Linked DNA regions of Arabidopsis thaliana. The protein of the gene in region 2 interacts with the protein of the main gene of each other region in a biochemical or structural test. Each region holds a gene or a part of one and is shown on either strand. Other genes may lie near its edges. The genes, in order: NADP-ME2, TTL3, AT5G42440 and GAPB.

What was found.
Region 1: the proteins of TTL3 (region 2) and NADP-ME2 form a complex in vitro, tested with the Arabidopsis thaliana proteins (one study listed by BioGRID).
Region 3: the proteins of TTL3 (region 2) and AT5G42440 form a complex in vitro, tested with the Arabidopsis thaliana proteins (one study listed by BioGRID).
Region 4: the proteins of TTL3 (region 2) and GAPB form a complex in vitro, tested with the Arabidopsis thaliana proteins (one study listed by BioGRID).

The regions. Positions count from the first base shown.
Region 1 is NC_003076.8:3,752,535-3,758,851, forward strand, and holds NADP-ME2 (NADP-malic enzyme 2), read left to right. Parts: upstream 1-1,556; 5' UTR 1,557-1,921; coding exon 1,922-2,064; intron 2,065-2,272; coding exon 2,273-2,393; intron 2,394-2,489; coding exon 2,490-2,564; intron 2,565-2,678; coding exon 2,679-2,830; intron 2,831-2,905; coding exon 2,906-3,011; intron 3,012-3,107; coding exon 3,108-3,173; intron 3,174-3,272; coding exon 3,273-3,368; intron 3,369-3,462; coding exon 3,463-3,534; intron 3,535-3,627; coding exon 3,628-3,711; intron 3,712-3,811; coding exon 3,812-3,910; intron 3,911-3,999; coding exon 4,000-4,047; intron 4,048-4,133; coding exon 4,134-4,187; intron 4,188-4,282; coding exon 4,283-4,381; intron 4,382-4,465; coding exon 4,466-4,555; intron 4,556-4,642; coding exon 4,643-4,720; intron 4,721-4,845; coding exon 4,846-4,920; intron 4,921-5,015; coding exon 5,016-5,106; intron 5,107-5,199; coding exon 5,200-5,328; intron 5,329-5,417; coding exon 5,418-5,506; 3' UTR 5,507-5,808; and 1 more.
Region 2 is NC_003071.7:17,726,818-17,732,387, reverse strand, and holds TTL3 (tetratricopetide-repeat thioredoxin-like 3), read right to left. Parts: upstream 3,910-5,570; 5' UTR 3,534-3,909; coding exon 2,635-3,533; intron 2,548-2,634; coding exon 2,352-2,547; intron 2,272-2,351; coding exon 2,087-2,271; intron 1,999-2,086; coding exon 1,665-1,998; intron 1,584-1,664; coding exon 1,382-1,583; intron 1,299-1,381; coding exon 1,192-1,298; intron 1,080-1,191; coding exon 927-1,079; 3' UTR 552-926; downstream 1-551. Other genes in the region: GRF9 (general regulatory factor 9), read left to right, coding at 121-224. UniProt on the Arabidopsis thaliana protein: Involved in osmotic and salt stress tolerance. May play a role in the control of meristematic cell size during osmotic stress. May function as an adapter protein for BRL2 and may be required for signaling affecting leaf vascular tissue pattern formation.
Region 3 is NC_003076.8:16,972,666-16,976,557, forward strand, and holds AT5G42440 (Protein kinase superfamily protein), read right to left. Parts: upstream 2,213-3,892; 5' UTR 1,849-2,212; coding exon 769-1,848; 3' UTR 537-768; downstream 1-536.
Region 4 is NC_003070.9:16,125,687-16,130,423, reverse strand, and holds GAPB (glyceraldehyde-3-phosphate dehydrogenase B subunit), read right to left. Parts: upstream 3,072-4,737; 5' UTR 2,873-3,071; coding exon 2,771-2,872; intron 2,681-2,770; coding exon 2,585-2,680; intron 2,506-2,584; coding exon 2,341-2,505; intron 2,272-2,340; coding exon 2,104-2,271; intron 2,013-2,103; coding exon 1,852-2,012; intron 1,768-1,851; coding exon 1,706-1,767; intron 1,630-1,705; coding exon 1,580-1,629; intron 1,478-1,579; coding exon 1,071-1,477; intron 973-1,070; coding exon 840-972; 3' UTR 529-839; downstream 1-528. Other genes in the region: AT1G42960 (inner membrane localized protein), read right to left, coding at 3,344-3,478, 3,567-3,653, 3,807-3,903, 4,077-4,197, 4,495-4,561. UniProt on the Arabidopsis thaliana protein: Involved in the photosynthetic reductive pentose phosphate pathway (Calvin-Benson cycle). Catalyzes the reduction of 1,3-diphosphoglycerate by NADPH.

The DNA.
Region 1 (6,317 bases), on a different chromosome or scaffold from region 2:
GCTATGGATCTTCTTCCTCAGTTTCTGCATACTGACATGTCATGCATCGGTATGTGAGGATTTCTCATGAGGGACTCTTTCATTGGTTGGTGATAGGCTGATAGCTAGGGTCGATTCTAGATGATGGATTTATTATTAGTAATATAGGTTTTATTTAATTGTGTCTTCTTTACCAAACTCGAAATTTAAAAAAATCTCAGATAAGAGCTAAGCTGAACTGGATCTCAGCTAAACACAAAAATCTTCAAGAACCTTTTGTCTAAGTACAGTTCTAGATATGTAGATTTATGATTTACAATTTCTAGATTCATAAATTAAGCTTCTACAAAACGGGCGCTTGTACATTTTCTAACTATTTTTCTTATAACTTGCTTATGTTTTCCATATATTTTGCATAGTTTTTTTCAACTTGTTTTCTTTTAATCTTATTTCAAAAAATTAAACATATCATTAGATATAAGCTTTTTCCACTTAGAATGTCGCATAACTACTTACTTTTTAGAAATATTTCTACTAAACCCAAATAGGGTAAAAGGGGATAACGCTGATACCACTTTAAATTTCTAATCTAAAGGTGACGTTTTATTATGACAGAGAAAATACGAAATAGACGATATTATGTTATATAGCAAGCCTTTTGACTTTATAGAAGTGAGAAGCGAGGATTAAGGGGTCAAAAAAATGAAACATATATAGAAAGTAAACTTTGAAAAATATAGGAGTTGGTGAAGAAAATGAACATGTTGGAGTCGAGGATTCCCTAATATGTTCTAGAAAATATGAGCTTTTAGCAACTATAAACGCGTCTTGGTCCATCTTAGCTTACTTTTTGTATGAACGCAAGACAAATATTGGAATGACTGCAAAATAAAAAAAAAGCGAAAACCAAATATTGGTCAATCGAAAAGTAAGTGGAGACAATAAAAGGCGAGCAAGAAAACCTCAATGCTTTCTTATTTTAAAACTATTGAAATTCACTGCAAAACAAAAACAAAAAAAATGCTTATTTCAAATCGGACATATGTGCTTACGACTAATGAATAATTAATTCAATCCATGCACTAGCAGCAATCCTTATCCATGATCGTTAAATTAAATTATTACTAATAGACTTTAAGCATTCCTTACACTAATAATGACAGTTTGGTACCTATTTGAGGTGGGTTTTTACTATTACATACACTAAAAATGACAGTTCGGTACCTATTTGAGGTGGGTTTATTCTCTGTAATAGTTTATTTGAAAATTTCACTCTTCTTAAATTAGTATTAAAAAAAATCTTGTTGACTTATATAAATTCAAGTTGGGGGGTCCAATATGGCTGCCAAGTTTGATCCTCCGACAACATTCCCGCAGCCTCAAATACAATTATTTGTTTTTTTTTTCCCTTTGATTTGTGACATTGTACAATTATTATGATTTGTTTCTATTATCATCGTATATTCGTACATTTAAAAAAATAAAAAAAAGGGGAAAAGAATCATTTACATAAATAACAATTCATAATGTAATATCGCACCGAGTTTTATAGAAGTCTACACATATCTAATCTCAAAATGAAAGTGGCTTACATGTTTCTTAAACTTTTATTAAATTTGTTATATGTTTGGTGGGAAAAAATAACCAATAATGAAAAAGTGAAAGTTGTCTACACGAGGTAATGGATGAAGAGAGGGACCTACGACGAAGGATGACTCCGTCCACGTTCTTCTTCACTGTTTGACAATAAGCTCCAATTTTCAGACTTTTCATTTCAAACTTGTGGGTCTCATTTTCCTCTGGCCTATATAAATCCACTATCCTCCACTTCTGTCTTTCATCATCATTCCACATAAACAAAATATCTTCTTGCTCATTATTCATCATCAATCTACTACTCCGTAAACTTTGCTTCCTCTGTTTGTATTAGCTCAGAAGAGATATGGGAAGTACTCCGACTGATTTACCCGGTGAGGATGTCGCCGATAACAGATCCGGCGTCGGCGGTGGTATTTCTGACGTCTACGGTGAGGATTCCGCCACCTTGGACCAGCTTGTCACCCCTTGGGTTACCTCTGTCGCTAGGTGAGTCAACCCACCTTTAGATCTCAATCATACCCTTTTGTTTTACTTTTTGTGATCCATCACAATTGCTTCAGCTAAGTAAAGTTTGCTTTTTTAAGTTTCTAAACTTACCAACTTCTGTGAAATATGAACTTAGTGTTTCTTCTTGTTAAAGTTCCGATTTTTCTGTGGGGCTTATAGTGGATTGAAATGTTTTTGTTTTGTTCAGTGGCTACACATTGATGCGTGATCCGAGATACAACAAGGGACTTGCGTTTACTGATAAAGAAAGAGATGCTCATTACTTAACTGGTCTTCTTCCCCCTGTGATTTTGAGTCAGGATGTTCAGGTAACTTGAGGTTTTATATAAAAGAACTCACTTTTGTTTAGTTTTTGAGTTGGGTTTTGTCTGTGTTAACTTCTGTTTTGTGGGTGATTTTATTAGGAGAGGAAGGTGATGCACAATCTCCGTCAGTACACTGTTCCTCTGCAGCGTTACATGGCCCTGATGGATCTTCAGGTCAGTGATTGTTCTTCGAATTCATGTTTAGTAGAGTAGAGAATGTGTCCAAAGCTTTGTTTGGTTAGTTTTTCTTTTCTTACAACTGGTGGCTTATGTATCTGAATCTTGCAGGAAAGGAACGAGAGGTTGTTCTACAAGCTTTTGATTGATAACGTTGAGGAGTTGCTTCCAGTTGTGTACACACCAACAGTTGGTGAGGCTTGCCAGAAGTATGGGAGCATTTTCAGGAAGCCACAGGGTCTCTACATCAGTTTGAACGAGAAGTGTGTTTTAAAATCTCTTTAACCAGGTCGGTTCCATTTTGTTTCTTTAAACTAATGTGAATGGATGTTCTTTAGGGGCAAGATTCTTGAAGTTTTGAAGAACTGGCCCCAGAGAGGAATCCAAGTTATTGTTGTTACTGATGGTGAGCGGATTCTCGGTCTGGGAGATCTTGGTTGCCAGGTAATAAATAAGTTCTTGAGTTACACTTGAAACTTAAACATTTTGTGTTGAAAGTTCACATCTATCATCTGTTTGAACGATTTCAATATTTTCCAGGGAATGGGAATTCCAGTGGGGAAACTTTCTCTTTACACCGCTTTGGGAGGAATCCGTCCATCAGCTGTAAGCACTAGAACAAAAGCTGCTCTAGAAATTGGTTCTACTTGATTGATAACTCAATAACTGTTTTGATCCTAAATGAAAATCGGCTTTCAAATGCAGTGTCTTCCAATCACCATTGATGTGGGTACAAACAATGAGAAGTTGCTAAATGATGAATTCTACATCGGTCTTAAACAGCGAAGAGCAACTGGCCAGGTTTACTAATCAATTCCTATCAGTGTTTTCTCTTCTTATAGCAAATACTATGATTTTTCAAAAACTGAGAAGTCTATTTGCTTTTGTGATTCAGGAATATGCTGAATTCCTGCACGAATTCATGTGCGCTGTAAAGCAGAACTATGGAGAGAAAGTGTTGGTTCAGGTGAGCCATAGGATACTCTCTTAAGAACTATGATTGTTGTCAGAACTACGATAAAAGATGTCCGGAATTAATATCATACACTCATCTTTTCAGTTTGAAGATTTTGCAAACCACAATGCGTTTGACCTTTTGTCTAAGTACAGTGATAGCCATCTTGTCTTCAATGACGATATCCAGGTAGCATCTTCTCCTCAAGATTGATCTTTTTTTTCTTAAATTTTTGGTTGTGATGTCAGAGTGCTTACCAAGAACTTGATTTTGTTTTCTGTAATTGCAGGGTACTGCATCCGTGGTGCTTGCTGGGCTTATTGCCGCTCAGAAGGTGCTTGGTAAAAAACTGGCTGACCATACCTTCCTGTTCTTGGGTGCCGGAGAGGTGAGACCAGAAAGCATTATACTCTATAAGCTTATAATTCTTACATTTATTTTTTGCTGCTTACACTTTATCTCGCTGATTCTTTGAAGGCTGGAACCGGTATCGCTGAGCTAATTGCTCTTAAGATTTCGAAAGAGGTTAGTCAATCTGGGAGTTTTCTTGCATTTGATCTGTTTTTTGGCTAAGAGTATGTGATTGATCATATCTGTTTTTTTTTTTGTAGACTGGAGCTCCCATCACTGAGACCCGGAAGAAGATTTGGCTTGTGGACTCCAAGGTATTGTTAGGCGCCAACCACCAAGATCAGTCTCATCTTTTTTAGCTATACCGTTCTTGTTCATATATGTTTCTCTTTTGAACATTATTTTGCAGGGACTGATTGTTAGCTCACGCAAAGAATCTCTTCAGCACTTCAAGCAGCCATGGGCACATGAGCACAAACCTGTGAAGGACCTCATTGGTGCTGTTAATGTACGTGATGAACTGATCTTTAAATTGCTTGATAGTGAATAGAGAATCTTTTTGTTCACTGTTTGTTGAAACTTTTTCAAACAGGCAATCAAGCCAACCGTTCTCATTGGAACATCCGGTGTGGGTCAGACTTTCACAAAAGAAGTTGTCGAGGCCATGGCTACCAACAACGAGGTTTCTTCTTGTTCTTACTCTCTGCTTTTTCAGAAAACAAGGTATTTATGCTATTTTTCTAATGCTGGTCTTGGTGTTGGCTTATAGAAACCGTTGATTCTTGCTCTCTCAAACCCTACTTCTCAAGCTGAGTGTACTGCTGAACAGGCTTACACATGGACCAAGGTATAATATTGTCTCATATGACATCTAAATGTGATTCATGTCCTCACTCCTGATTATACAACAAAATTATAATTTGGTTTTCATGCTGCTCCTCGAATCTAATCATATATTGTGCTTAAAAAAAGGGTCGTGCAATCTTTGGAAGTGGAAGCCCATTTGATCCTGTTGTGTACGATGGCAAAACCTACTTGCCTGGCCAGGTTCGTGCTATTTCAACAACTTCTTCTCTCTCAACTTTGTACATCTGACAATCTTAGAGCTCACATCATATTTCCACTATCCTACTTAACTTCAGGCAAACAATTGCTACATTTTCCCTGGTCTGGGTCTTGGTTTGATCATGTCTGGGGCAATTCGTGTCCGTGATGACATGCTCCTCGCAGCTTGTAAGTAAAAATAAACTTCAGAAAATCAAACATGGATACTGATAAAGACACTTAAAGATTCTCAATGTCATCTCTCTCTCATGTTTTCAACAGCTGAAGCATTGGCCGCACAAGTGACAGAAGAGCATTACGCCAATGGTCTGATCTACCCGCCATTCTCAAACATCAGAGAGATCTCTGCTAACATTGCAGCCTGTGTCGCCGCCAAAACCTATGACCTCGGTTAGTTGAATGAAACTGTCTTAACTCTTTTAATGAGACTGTCTGAACTCTCTAATCTCAAGTTCTAAAATCGATGTATTGTGGTGTAGGATTGGCGTCGAACCTGCCACGTGCAAAGGATCTTGTCAAGTTTGCAGAGAGCAGCATGTACAGCCCTGTGTACAGAAACTACCGTTAAAAAAGTTTTGTTGAAGAAACCTGCAGATTATACTATTCACAACCCTTGATAGTTTCTTAAGGCTTGTATTTAAGTTTTTTGTTTGTTTGTTTGTTGTTTGTTTTCTCTTCTACATTATGATGCTGTTTGTGAACTCTCTCTCTGTCTTTGCTGATAAATAATAAATTGTTACTAATATAATCTACAAATCATTATTGTCTCAAAGTTACACTTTCCATCCCACATCACAAAATCGATCAACTTGTCTTGGAAGGGAATAATATGCTTTTTTCTGCCACTTGTTGTATCTTATTGGTTGTTTTATTAAAATGGTATAATTGTTGCAGAATTAAAGAACTTGTATCATTATTTTGAAGAGTTTATCAAAAGTTTCATATAGATAATAGGACTATAGAAGCATAGCTGAATACTCTTTTGAAAGTGGTTTCTAAATTGTACTGAGCAAAATGTTCTAAAAACAACAAAACTCCTAATCTTAAGCTAATGATTTTGGCATTTTAGGTAACTACTTGTTATAAATAGCTAAAACAATAACAAGAATCTCTAAAACTCGTCTTCACGTTTTGGTTAAAATCGAAAGCTCAAACAATCCAAACCAAAACTAAACCGAAACAAGATGTCAAAAAAATAAATAAACACCTAAACCGAAACCAAAGTTAAAACAACTGAAAATGGGCTGAACGGTCCCTTTAATCTGAGATGTAATAAGGCCCAAATAGTAACTGTAGATGGGGACAATTGTAACGAAATCAAATTGCGGGCGAAAATCGAACTAAAGAAATAAGTAGAGGGACGAATAAAATGGTTAGAA
Region 2 (5,570 bases):
CATATCCATGGACATTCTTGATGATAGATAGTTGAAATAGCATCTGGAAGACGATTGCCAGTTTTTATCAATATATATTTTCACTTGGACTTCAACTGTTAATTTTGCATTTGTGTGCAGGAGACGATGCTCATAAGACGAATGGTTCTGCCAAACCTGGTGCTGGTGGAGACGATGCAGAGGTAAGTATAAGAGATTCCTTTACTCGGGGTAAATCAAATTAAAATAAGCCGATTTTGATTCAAGATTTCTTTGCTTATGTTGCAGTGATATGATATGTGTGCACCTGGACAATATGTTTCAAGAACTGAATGTGCGGTGAATAATAGTGAAAAGTAGAGTTTCTCTGTTCCCTATATCATGATTGTCTATGTTACTTGTACTCTGGTTTAGCCCTAAATGTCTCTCTGGTTTGAATGTATTGCATGCCTGTCTCAGGACACTCTTATTTGTAATTCACTACTGTCGTCTTACTATCTATCCTTATGGATCCAATCTTGAAACTTATATTCCTTCATTTCTGAATTGCTGAGATAGAAGCTGATTGGATTCGGTACTCTCTGATTCATATTCTGTCACTGATTGAATCAACAACACCAAATACAGTAAACTCTGTTCAGTTTCTTTCACTGGTGTGGTGAATAATCTAGCATACACAAGCCAAGCGTAAATAGATAATGAAGCTTGCATTTCTTGAATCATTGCGAACATTTACCCATACGTAATATGCCAAAGCAAGCAGAGCCAAACTCCAAAAAATAAATAAAGAAGAATTAGAATCGAATAAGAAGAAAGAATGAATAGTTTGTTGAATTTGACAGAAGAGCTCTTTCCCATCTTTCACATAGAATGCTTTCTGAGTCTTTTAAATAGGCTATTCGGATCGAATCATAGGGAAGCAGATAATGATGATAGGGCTTTTTCAATCATAAGAGGAAATGCTTTATAGAGTCCTCTAGAAACTGATGGCTAGGACAAACCATCTCCTTCACTTTATCTCCATTCTTGTACATCTTAAATGTCGGAACTTTCCTGATACTCTCTGCTTTCGCCAACGCCATGCTCTCCTCCACATCCACCTAATAACATTTCATTTTCTCAGTTAACACATTGAGAAACATAGGTTATACATATAAGTTTAGAAGAAAATGTGATATAAAAAGCATATTTGGAATGTGTTCTTGTTCTTACCATAAAGAAATGTACTAATGGATACCGAAGACATAAAGTGTTGATGAATGGAGAAATTTCTTCGCATTGTCGGTTTGATGATGATTTGAAATGAAATACAGAGACACCTGAAGAGAAATGTTTCCAACTTGAGCAAGACACGCAAAATCTCAACCTTTTGAGACAAATTGAAGTTTCTCATTAGACTTACCGGGAAGTGCTACGGATTTCTTGAACTTATCCAAAGTCGAAACCGCTTCAACTTCATTATTGAAACCTAGGCTTTTAGATTCTTGGCTTCTGTTCATTAGCACTGTTTTCGCTCTCTCTAGAGACTCTGCAACTTCACTGTCTCCTGGAAGTTCTCTTCTCAAGAACTCATAATCTTTAACCGCATCCTCCCACCTACCAAGCTATATATTTCAACACACATTGTCATTCGAATACACTGCAAAATTCTGTCAATAACTGATTATAGTAAGTTCTAATCTCACCTTTCCATATGAAGCAGCCCTACGTAGAAGTGCCTTGATGTAACTAGGCTGGCTTTTGAGCGCATGGTTACAATCTTCAACAGATTTCTCCCACAAACCGAGCTTATACCAACACGCTGCTCTGTTGCAGTACAAAACCGAATTGGAGTCATCTTGCTTGAGACCGTCTCCATAAGCTACACACGCTTCCGAGAATCTCCCCGAACTAAATAGCTCATTACCACGAGTACGTGCCCGCACAACCATCTTCACATTGTTTAAAACTGATACAACCTCAGGATTGGTTTGATCAAGCATCGCAGCTCTCTCTGCCTTGACAACCGCATTCTCAAATCTGCAACAAACCTATCATATCTACTCACTCACCGGTGGAGAAACAAAAATCCAAAGAATCACAACATTTCTGAGTTTCGAAAGCTCACCTTCCTAATGCCATATCAACTTGAGCTTGGATACAGAGCACATAAGCTTCAACTACCATACCAAAGAGTTTCACCTGCGGTTGAGAATGGTAATGATGATCCAATCTTGGAATGCAAGATACACAAAAATCCGAATCCTCTATTTGCTTAAGACGCAAAAAGGCTTCTGCTTTACAAGCTACAAGCTGTCCAAACCAATAGAAAAAACCTCACTGTTAGTCAAAAATCTTTACAAGCATATCATACGACAATGATATGTAATCACCTGAGGAGACGAATCAGCGCCGTTTGCAATGGCTGCATCGGTTTCCTTAATCGCGGTTTTCCAATCTCCAATCTTTCGAGCCTCCCAGCATCGTCGGAGATGCTTCTCCAGCGTCTGTAGCCGTTGGAGATCAGCTTGATCCGGACATTGACCAGAAAAACAAATGTGACGTCTTGCATTCTCAGCTTCACCCAATCTAAAGCAACAATTCACTCCATCATTTCAAATTCTCAATCTTTAAACTAAAAACACAGCAACAAAACAAAAAGCCTCTCAAGATTACCTGAGATAGAGAGAAGCAAGTCTTTGGTGAGCTCTGGAGTAAGAAGGATCAATCCTAACAGCTTCAAGACATTCTTTAACGGCTTCTCCTAACCGCCTCAATGCCGTTAAAGCCGCGGCACGGTTGCTTCTGTAAGCTGCATTTCCCGGTGAAATCAAAATTGCTCTGTCATAAAGCGACAGAGCTTCAGAGAAACTCCCTCTCCTATACATATCATTCCCCATTCTCTTCAACTCCTCCGGGTTTTCGCCATTCTCCGCCACTCTCACCGCCTTTCCGCTGGTTCCTCCTCCTCCGCCGCTGCGTACAACGTTTCCATGTCCGTAATTACCAGTTCCTGTGCATAGAGTCTCAGTCCTACTTGAAGTCCGAGACGCCATTCCAGTTTTCAAGATCCGACCCGACGGACAAATATTTCCCGCCGGTAAAACGCCAGTATTGGGAGACACTGCCGACGTAGCACCGCTACCACCTCCTTGTGGCGAGGTGTGACTCGTTGCTGAAGTAAAGCTAGAGCCAGAGAAGATCAAAGGCGTGCCAGTAGAAGAAGATCTTCTATGACCCGGTTTAAGAATCCGGGTCGTGGTCGGCATTCCGGATCCGGGGCTAGAAAGCTCACCGGAATGACTCTTGTAAGCATCATCTAACCGTTTAGCCATCTGAGAACTCACCGACGGTTTACCAGAAGCAGAGCCAGAAGAGCCAGAGCTGCTAGTAGGAGTCGCAGCAGCGGAAGAAGAAGCAGAGCCACGTGGCATTAAGGTAGAAACAGGAGAACCTAGATCGAGTTCTCGAAAATCAGGTTTGTTGACGTCATCATCATTTCTCTGTAAATCACGAAATCGACCAGTGATTGAATCTATAGCAGGTTCCAACGAAAGTCTTCTAGAATGAGACATCGTCGTCACTTCCTCGTGAGCTGAATCTAAAATGAGACTCAGCTTCCTTTTCTTCTTCTCAGAGAAGTCAAGAGACCACCACCGAAGCTTTTAACGCCGGACAGAAACAAGTACTGTCTTCAGAGAGAAGAGAGAGAAAGAAGAGGAAAAAGAAAGACAGATCTCGTGATAAATAGAAAAGGAAGACGCAAAGAATTAAGATGAAGAAAAAAAAAAGGATTAACCTTGATTAATAAAGATTACGGATTTATCTCCCTGAAGATTATGACATTGATCTTCTTCTTCATCTTCTGTTTATCTCTCTTCGCTCCCGTGTCTTCACGGCTACTTGTCGTTGAAGAAAATAATACGGTGATTTATCGAATTTATTATTAATTAATAAACTCTATAGTCTAAAATAGTTGACTTTTTAATTTTGAGCACAGTGTTCGAATATAAACTAATTAGACTTTTTCTAACATTTAATGAATTTAAGTTTTCTTAATAAATTAAAACATTTAACCCCTTACTAACTAACTACATCTTTTTTTTTTGGTGCACACTAACTAAGTACTAAAGTACATCTACTTTCAAATTGTTGCGTTGTGTTACGGAAACGAATTATGATATAGTACATTGTATCTGTTAATTTGTATGAATGTTAATTAGTATTTAAAATTACTAGCTTCTGACGTCAAGGGCACGAAGATTCAAGCACGTTCACTCATGTTCCCAAAATGTTACTCTATCGAAATGTATAACATCATTTATTAATACAGACTATGCAATAGCATAAGCAAGGCAAGCTAGCTATATGTACTAGTATCATATTAGGATTTTTTAAAAGTAAACACTAAACCTTCGTAGGATATTCAATGCGCCACGACATGTTACTATTTTATCATTATTACTAGTATTTTTTTGTTGCAATATGTTTCATTTATCAAACCCACTTTTAGGGTCGTTGTACAGAAGTCTCGCATTAAATTGGCCGACTCAATTTTTATTAAATTGAATAATTGTAATGGTATTTTTTAGACATTAACATTTTAACTAGTGTTTAGTTAGTTGTAAAAAAAAATCTGGACAAATTACTAAGAAATAAGAAGTTATATTCTAGAAAGTAAATCTAATGATTATTTCTACAGATACAATAGATTTTTATTATAAAAAAAAATTAGTTAGAAGTATGTCAACAAATCACAGACTTTTGGAGTTTGGTTAAACTATTTGACCAAGAAAAATGAGAAAAAATGCCACGTAAGGATTTCAACCCTCGTACTCAGAGACAGCAAGATAGAGGGTAAAATCGTCATTCGATGTAAGATGTATTTATCAAGCCAGCCAAACTTTTGTTTAAGCCACCATATATATTGTACTATTATAAGCATATAAAGTAATCTTTTATTGCAATAGCCAATTTAAATGTAAATAACAAATGTGTGTAATGCAACAAAAATAAAGAAAATTACAAATGAAAGTTCAATATCTATTGCAGAGCTGGCATTTTTAAAATCTTCATTTTGGTTTTCGGGTGTCCTTTGAAAAGGCTGTCATAGTTCTCTTTTTTTCTTTTCTGGGGATTACTGTTTAATTCATTCGATATAGAGTAGTTAATTTGCTGAAACTCATAATTAATTACTTTGTATTAACTATTTACTGTTTCTAGTAGATCATGGCCAGTCCGTACCGTTCAGACCTACGGAACCACTAATTACATTGAACCAAGCACCATGCATGCCTTCATTTTATTTTATTTTTCTCTAGCTAGGTCATGCCTCGCACCCTCAAATTATTTTCCATATATAGTCAATTAATTTTCTCTTGACTTTTTCTTAAATAAATTATTTCGCTATATAAAAATATTTAAAACAATAATAGGATAATTAAGAACATAACGATAATAAATAGTAAATACTAATTAAAGAAAAAAAAGGATAAAAAAATAGAAGGGTGTTGCGGTAATTATGGGGATAATTGCAAAACGGTGATCATGCCAGCTGGTTATTGACTTCTCTGCTGTGTCTGCCAGCTAAGCACACAGTTTCCGTTAACGGC
Region 3 (3,892 bases), on a different chromosome or scaffold from region 2:
GTTAATTGTAGTATCTTTCCTTATTTATCATTATTCATTTATATATTTTACCAAAAAAAATAAAATCATTTATATTTTTTTCCTGAAAACATTCATTTTATACTTTTCTGAAAACAAGTCTTGATAATTAATCTGAATTCTTCTTAAACAGTCTAATCAAGGTGTTTAATTTTATTTTTGGAGTCCAAATTAAATAAAATGCTTGCAGAAAGAAAGAAAGAAGCATCTCTTATCTCATAGCAGAGAACAATGGTTAAAGTATGATTGTATATTTGTATGGCACGATAAAATAAAGCTCACGAATCTCTCATGTTTAGAATAACTTCTTTTATTCACTTTACTGCAACAGTACGTGTGTGTGCTCCTTCATCTGTCATGGTAAACACTAAACAGTTCCAAATGCCTTTTTACCTTTTCTAAATCCTCAATTCTAATGATTTTAAATGAAACCTAAAATTGATAGAATCACTTCAAGTTTTGTTTTCTTTGCAATCATTCAAAAATCAATAGAATTTTAAAGATTGACAGAAGATCCTAAAAGTTAATTATCTCAGCCGATGTTTAGCACATAGACGTAAAGTCAAAAAACAAAACACTCTAGTTCCTAATACATAAATCTCTAAAACTAAAACGTAAATAAGCAGAACATAGAAACTTATTTTGTAACTTCTTTTGGTCCGAATATTTTACCCAATTATTACAATATGTAACGAACTTCACTTGTGTGATAAAAAAGACTAATTACATTTACCTATTGGATTAATATGACTACATAAATCGACATAACTCCTCCAATAACTCCACCACTTGAACCATAGTAGGCCTTTCTCTAGTCGACTCTTTAATACAAAGACAAGCAATCCTAAAATACTCTTCCACTCCCTTCTCACTACCACAAACACCTCCAAAATCCAACATTTCATAACACCGATTTTGCTCCACCATGATCACAGCCCATTGAGCCAACCCAACTTCCTTCTCATCCACAACAACCGTTAAATTCGGCCGTCTCCGCGTCGCCAATTCCAACATCAATACACCAAAACTATAAACATCAGCTTTAACCGTCGCCGCGGTATTCCCTTCCCAATACTCCGGTGGCATGTACCCCATCGTCCCCGCCACTTGCGTCGACACATGCGACCTCGACGCATCGATCCTTCGCGCCAATCCGAAATCCGCAATATGCGCCACGAAATCCGAATCCAACAGCACATTACTCGATTTGATATCTCTATGTATAATTGGTTTCGGTAAACCATGCAGATAAGCTAAACCCTTGGCCACATCGCGCGTGATATTCACGCGCGTTGACCAAGTCAATGGACTGTTCTCTTCGTCAGTCTCGTGTAACCAATAGTCAAGACTACTTTTCTCTAAGAACTCGTAGATAAGAATCCGATCTGATCCCGAGATGCAATAACCGAGGATCCTAACTATGTTTGGGTGATTGAGACGACCTAGAGTGTCCATTTCGGCTGCGAATTCTCGGAATCCTTGTAAAGCGTCGTGATCGAGCTTTTTAACGGCGACTACGACGCCGTTTGAGAGCTGAGCTCGATAAACGAGACCGAAACTTCCGTCGCCGACGATAAGATCCGATGAGAAGTTTTTAGTTGCTATAGTGAGTTCCGCCATGGATATTTCACAGATTGATGGATCGAAGCTTTCGGTTACTGTTTCCGTGTTTAGATCGGGATCGGGGTCGGGGAAGTTACGATTCCGGCGAGGATGGTTTTGGATTGGAGGACGACGGCGACATACGATCATAACGACGGTGAAGACGATAAGCAAGAGGAAGATGGAGCTTATGCTGGTGGCTAGGATTAGTGAGATTTGGTAATCCATGGATAGTGTTTGGGATCAGTATGAGATTGAGAGAGAGAGATTGAGAAAGAGAGAGTAAGAGATGATCCGCCATTGATAGTGACGGAGGAGGAAGTGTAAGGTTTTGATTGAGTCGTAGTCGTAGATAAGACAAGTCAACGATTGTTGCTGGAGAAAGTCTACGCAGGTTGTACACGTGTCTTGACGATATTGGTGGTTACGAAGTATGTGTAAAATGCTTGAAAATTTCTGCTATGAAGTGGGAATTTCTTTACTTGATATCAAAATTAGTTAGCTTATAGTTTTGGAACAATTAAACTACAAGGTTTAGTTGCTTAAACTAATTTATACCCCTAAGACAATTTTCAATGATAAAGTGACTCTATTTTTTTTCTTTAATTATAAATTTGAACAATTCAAAGTTTAGAGTTTGTGTTGAATTCTTATATTTTTTATTATTTAATGGTAGAGTCATGCATGGATTTCTTTAAGAGAAATAAATCATACTTTTAAAATGATAAATTATAAATATTTTGGATTCTAGTAAAAGCATTAAAATAATTAGACCAAACTCATCTAATAAAAGCATCAAACACAAACTCATTTCATTACTTGTTACCTAGACCAAACACACCTAAGGAAAGCATCAAACACGAACTCTTTAAGACAACATCATTACTAAGATAATTAGACAGAACAAACTCATATCTACATAATTTGCTTTCATTATTAGAGAATTCAAGGGTTCAGAACAAAATCATATGAGCTCAAAACCATAAGAAACCGTAAAACTAAGCGAAACAGAACAGAACATACGTCATAGGACAGACAAAATGGTCTTAAAACACTCGATTGAATTGGTTTAAGAAAAAGTAGAAGAATACACTGTCACAGATTTTCGTTTTGTTTGTTTTCGTTTAAAGATCTTGAGTTGTTTTGTTTATGCTTATAATTTGTGGGGTTCAAGTGTTTCTTGTCATGATTATGATTAATATTTGATCCAAATACTATTTTTAACATCCGTAAACATTTTGTTATGTACTAAATTTATTTTTAAAAATAACATGCTGGGGATGATACTATATTTTTTTTTTTTCCCCAACTTTTTTTGTCACTGTTTATTATAAAAGGGATGATACTATCTAATGTCCACCAAAGAAATCAAATCAATTTTTTTTTATGACGAAAAAGAAAAAAACAGATCAAGAGTCAGAAATCTCGTGTGGAAAATCGACGCTCATCGCGTCTTCAAGACACTAGCGATCGATGTATTTGATTTCATCAATCTCTTCAAACCTAAGAAAAAAAAGTGCAGACTGAAATTAAGAACTGAACAAAAACGAGATTTGGAGTATGGTATAGAAGACGGAAGCTGAGAGATGAAGATGACATTATATAGGGCACAATTATTTACCCTAATTTCCATTGATTTGGGCTTTTGTGAAGCCCAATAAGGAAAATGGGTTCACATTTTAAAAATGTTCAAAAACGTGTTTAAGGTTTTGTATAAAAGGAACGTAAATAGGTTTTTTATTCCTCACTTCTCGTCAGAGTCTTACGCCGCAGGGCTCATCGGAGTTTCAGGTTCTTCTTCTTCTCTCTTCCTCCACCTCCATTTTCAAAGATTTTACGATTCAGACTTAGTTAGAATCTTAGTCGAATCAATAGAGAACTGATTCAGAGTTATTTTGATTAGAGCTTGATTTCAAATTTACTGTTTATTGAAACGAATTAGGAGGAGAAGAAGAATGTCTCACAGGAAGTTTGAGCATCCAAGACATGGTTCTCTTGGTTTCTTACCAAGGAAGAGAGCTAATCGTCACAGAGGAAAGGGTATGTCTTTTTTTCAAACTTAGGACTGAGAAGGAAATAACTCCAATGGGAGGATTCGCACATTACGGTATAGTGAAGGATGACTACTTGATGATTAAGGGTTGCTGCATGGGTCCAAAGAAGAGAGTTGTGACTCTTCGTCAGTCACTGCTAAGGCAGACTTCTCGTCTTGCGATGGAGGTGATTAATCTCAAGTTCGTCGATACCTCATCGAAGGGGGGACATGGTCACT
Region 4 (4,737 bases), on a different chromosome or scaffold from region 2:
TTTGCCCAAAGCATTGATTAAAAAATCACCACTATAATGATTGATTGATTCACTTCCAGAATGTGTACGACTATTCCTTGCTCTGATAGGTTCAATAACCAGAGAAGCTATTTCTAGCTGAACAAAAGATGGAACTCGAGTCTAATAAAGAAACAAGCTTGAGAAAAAAAGGCTGAGTTGGTTGAAGAGCTGCAATGAAAATGATTGAATTAACAAATTTTGTACAATTTTCTCATTTTTCACCTACATCATTAAAAGTTTTGTAGACTCAATTCAAAAATCAGCCTGCTACCATTTTTTTTGTTGTTTTTTGTTGTTGTTGTTATTGCATAAGTTAAAAATTCAATTGAGAAATCGTCATAAGAGTTTGGTTCTAAATTTTTAATATTTAAAAACTATATGGTATAATACCTTACATTGATTTTAATTTATTCTTTCTTTATTTTTCATTTTTAATATAAAAAAATTACATATGTATTATGAAATTCAAAAAGATCAATTCCAACCATCATACAATAAAGAAATCAAGTTGAAAATATCAAATCTCTTTTCTCTAGATTGAATGTTTCATTATTTTGTTGCACACTCATGCATCTTTATTTGTAAACCAAATCAAACAATTTCTTTTGTCATACATTGCTCAAATAAATTCCGTTTTAACATGTAGCATAAAATGGTTATTTCTCAAATACAATTCTCTCAGTCTTAACATATAGTTGTTCATCAGACAAGAAAATCTTATGAGAAAAACAAGTATGCATAGTACGATTTCGAATAAGTAACTCATGATACAAAGTATTGTTTTGGTGAAAAATAAAGAAAGAAATGATCAAAGTTGTTCAGTCATAGACTTTGCATTCCTCATCAGCCGGGTTTGTCTTGCAGAAATCCTCCAAAGGATCTCCACTTCCAACAGCTTCCGCTCCCGGCCACTTGCTAGCCACTAGGTGAGCCAAATCCACCACTCTTTGGCTAAAACACGAACACGCAAACGCAAACACAAAACATAAACAAACAATCATAGGTTAAAACATAAAATGATATCATGTAATGTGTTATATCTCTCTCACCTGTAACCCCACTCGTTATCATACCAAGCAACCACCTTGACCATATCATCACCCATAACCATAGTGAGGGACGAGTCAATGGTGGTAGAGACATCAGAGCACCTGAAGTCAACAGAGACAAGAGGCGCATCGCAAACGTCTAAAATGCCTTTCATCGGTCCATTAGCGGCTTTTCTAAAGGCCTCGTTCACATCCTCTGCTGTCAAACCTTTCTTCTCAACGTTTATAACAAGGTCAACCACTGAGACGTTTGGTGTTGGCACACGGAGTGCAATGCCGTTAAGTTTACCCTTCAGCTGCGGCAACACTAATGACACCGCCTTGGCTGCTCCTGTGCTGGTAGGCACTATGTTCAGTGCTGCGGCTCTTGCACGCCTTAGGTCCCTGTGTGATGCATCTAGAAGCCTCTGAAACAATTCATTTCAAACATATTTATTTTTTTGACAATACAAGCAAGCTCTTCCGTTAGGTTTCTACATGGATAGATAGACAAAAAGATGGAATCTTACTTGGTCTCCGGTGTAGGAGTGTGTGGTTGTCATTGTCCCCTTGACAATTCCTGTGATTCAGTTCATGTATGAGCTATAAAAAAAACATTTTGAAACATGTAGTGAAGCAGAGAAAATAAAATGTACCAAATTCTTCATCCAAGACTTTAGCAAAAGGTGCCAAACAGTTGGTGGTGCAAGATGCATTGCTGCAAAGAAAGACCAAAACTGAAGCATGAATACTCAAACTCGTTCATGCTTTAATGAGATCAAAGGTTTAACTTTAAACGGACCTAATAATGTTAGCGACATCGTGACCATAGTCTTGCTCATTGACTCCCATAACATAGGTAGGGATATCAGCACCTTTGGCTGGTGCAGTGATGATAACTTTCGAGGCTCCGGCTTGGATATGCTTCCCTGCTCCTGGCCCATCAACAAACACTCCTGTTCCCTGATGATCATAACCATATACAGTTTTCGATTAACTAAGTTCCGTAGCGCGATTTGCCATCATAATAAGCAGTTTTCGGTAGAAATTTCACCTCGATAACAATGTCAATGCCGAGCTCAGCCCATGGAAGCTTAAGAGGGTCTCTGTTGGAGACAACTTTGATGAGCTTACCATCAACACTAATAGTTTCATTGTCCACAATTTTCACTTCAGCCTTGAAGGTTCCAAGCATGGAGTCATACTTAAGCAAGTGGGATGCCTGCAAATTTCATCAAATGTCAAAAATGTGTTCCACAAGAAGAGTTCACAAAGTTTATTACATACTTACATTCTTGACACCACCACTGTCGTTAAGTACAACAACTTCGAGAGGAGAGTCTTTACGACCATGCCAACACCTAAGAAAGTTCCTACCAATCCTTCCAAAACCGTTAATCGCAACTTTCAGTTTCGCCACTGTCTCTCCTCTAACAGGAGTTGATGTTGTCACAGCCTAATATTTCACAAACTCATCACATATTCACAAATCATGATAACAATACAGTTACTGATTCAATCAATAAATAAGTTACCTTAGGGATGATTTGTGCAGCTACAGCATCGAAGAAAGATGCTTCCCCACCGATACTACTCATACGCAGACCGGAGAATTCAGCGACTTCTAGCCTCTGTGCAAGTAAGTAACAAGAGAAACCAATAAAACAAACTGTACCACACACATAAACAGAGGGTATGTAGTAGTCAGATGGAGTTCATACCTTGGAGGAGCATTGAGCAGGGAAAGAGTGAATGGCACTCTTAGACTGCAGTCGCTGTGTGACCGGGATTCTTGAGACGGCGAGAGCTGCATGTGTGGCCATAGCTGCAAGTGATCACAAGAAGGAAAAATCTAGGAATGCTAGTGATCAGTTTTGAGCGTTAGAATATATACATACATACACACATCCTTTGGTTTTGATCAAAACCAACCAATGGTTCAAAGTGAAGCAAAGTAATATGTGGCTATTATGTAGGTAAGATACATATGGGGATAAGATTCTGTGAGCCAGTGATCACAAGTTTCTCAAGAGACTCATTTTTTTAATCCTTCTTTTCATGTCATATAGTTTTCATCAGGATATTATATAGTCTTCATAACGTCTGGTTTCGCATATAACTGTGATATATCCTTCAACACCGCGATTTCGAGAAAAAAAGAAGAAGGAAGAAAGCAGTCATTTGAAGATAGTAGACGAAAAGTTGTACAACATTACACAGAAAGGAAAACAATTATTGGGATCATAGTAAGTAATCTCCCATGATTCAATTTCAAATCCTAAAAACAGATGATTTCAGGCTGTAGCCTCGATTTCATCGGTGCTTAGAGCTGCACCATTCGGAGTATCTTCTGATTTGAGCTGAGAGGAGACATCGTCGATAGCAGAGTTAAGCTGAGCAATTTTCTCAGCTAGTACCTTACGTGTTTTCTGCATTAACAGTAGACAACATTGTTCATAAGTAAATTCAACAAAAAGTGAGATAAAATATGAATCAAGAGGCTTAGCAATAACTTACCTCCAAAGCTTTTTCCTCGTCATATATGAATTTAGGCAACTTCCTCATGAGATCCTTTCGGTCTGCTCCAGCTATAGCCTTGCTGATCTGATACAATTCACAAAAGTAACATCACACATTGATGAGTCAAAGTGAAACAGAGAAGGTTACAGAGCTCCTCGAGTCCACTCAAGAACTTCTTGATTGAAACGAATACAAGCTCTAAGAGTGATCAAACTAAACCATGTAACAGATTACTACCTGTGGTGCATATACACATCCGAGGGCACCGACTATAAGTCCGCCCAAAATAAACCCTCCGACGAATAGGCCTGTGCTGCCTGAACCATCATCATCTCTGCAAGTTTTGATGCTATTAGACATTGCAAACTGTCTCTGTAAACATAAGTTGCCAATAGAAAACTAAAGTATACTAAAAAATGTTACGATGCTCACAAAACATTAAGGAGTAACAAGAACCACAGTTTTCGACATCTCAAACAATAATTTGTATAAGATAAAGTTATATACCTGTATGCAGATTGAATGGTTAGGATCCTTTTGGTTCTAGGAGCAGAAATATGAAGTTTGTTGGAGTGATTCAGTCCAAATGAAACACTGACACAACGAGCATTTGGATTCAGAGAAAAACCTAGAAGGTAACAAGAACAAACAACAATCAGTGACTTATACATAACAAGTTGAACAGTTTTCTAACAAAACAGCTTCAAGCTCTAATTTTGCATTGTTTTGACAAATCAGCACAAGTAAAAAGAAAGGACCCAACAACATAAAGGAATCAAGATCGTCCAATACACAATTAAATTGGGTTTTGTGAGATGCTAAATTAGAAATCGTAACATGACTGTACGAATCTCATGAGCTCGAAAATGGAGGATATTGAAAATCTATAAAGCACGAAGATTGGAGAGATTGAAGAAGTTATTACCAGATGAAGGATGGAGTTGGTGAGAATTCTTGGGGAGAGAGAGAGAGGTAGAAGAAAGAGACGCCATGGATGGAAGAAACTGTGTCTGAGAGAGATCCTGAGATAGAGCAGTTGGAGCAAGTTCGATGATATCTAAGCAAAGCTTCTTCGATTCAGTGGTAATTATTTATTTAAATATTTATTACAAATATTACATCAAAAAAAAAAAAATGTAATAAATATTGGGAGAAATGAAAATGGATC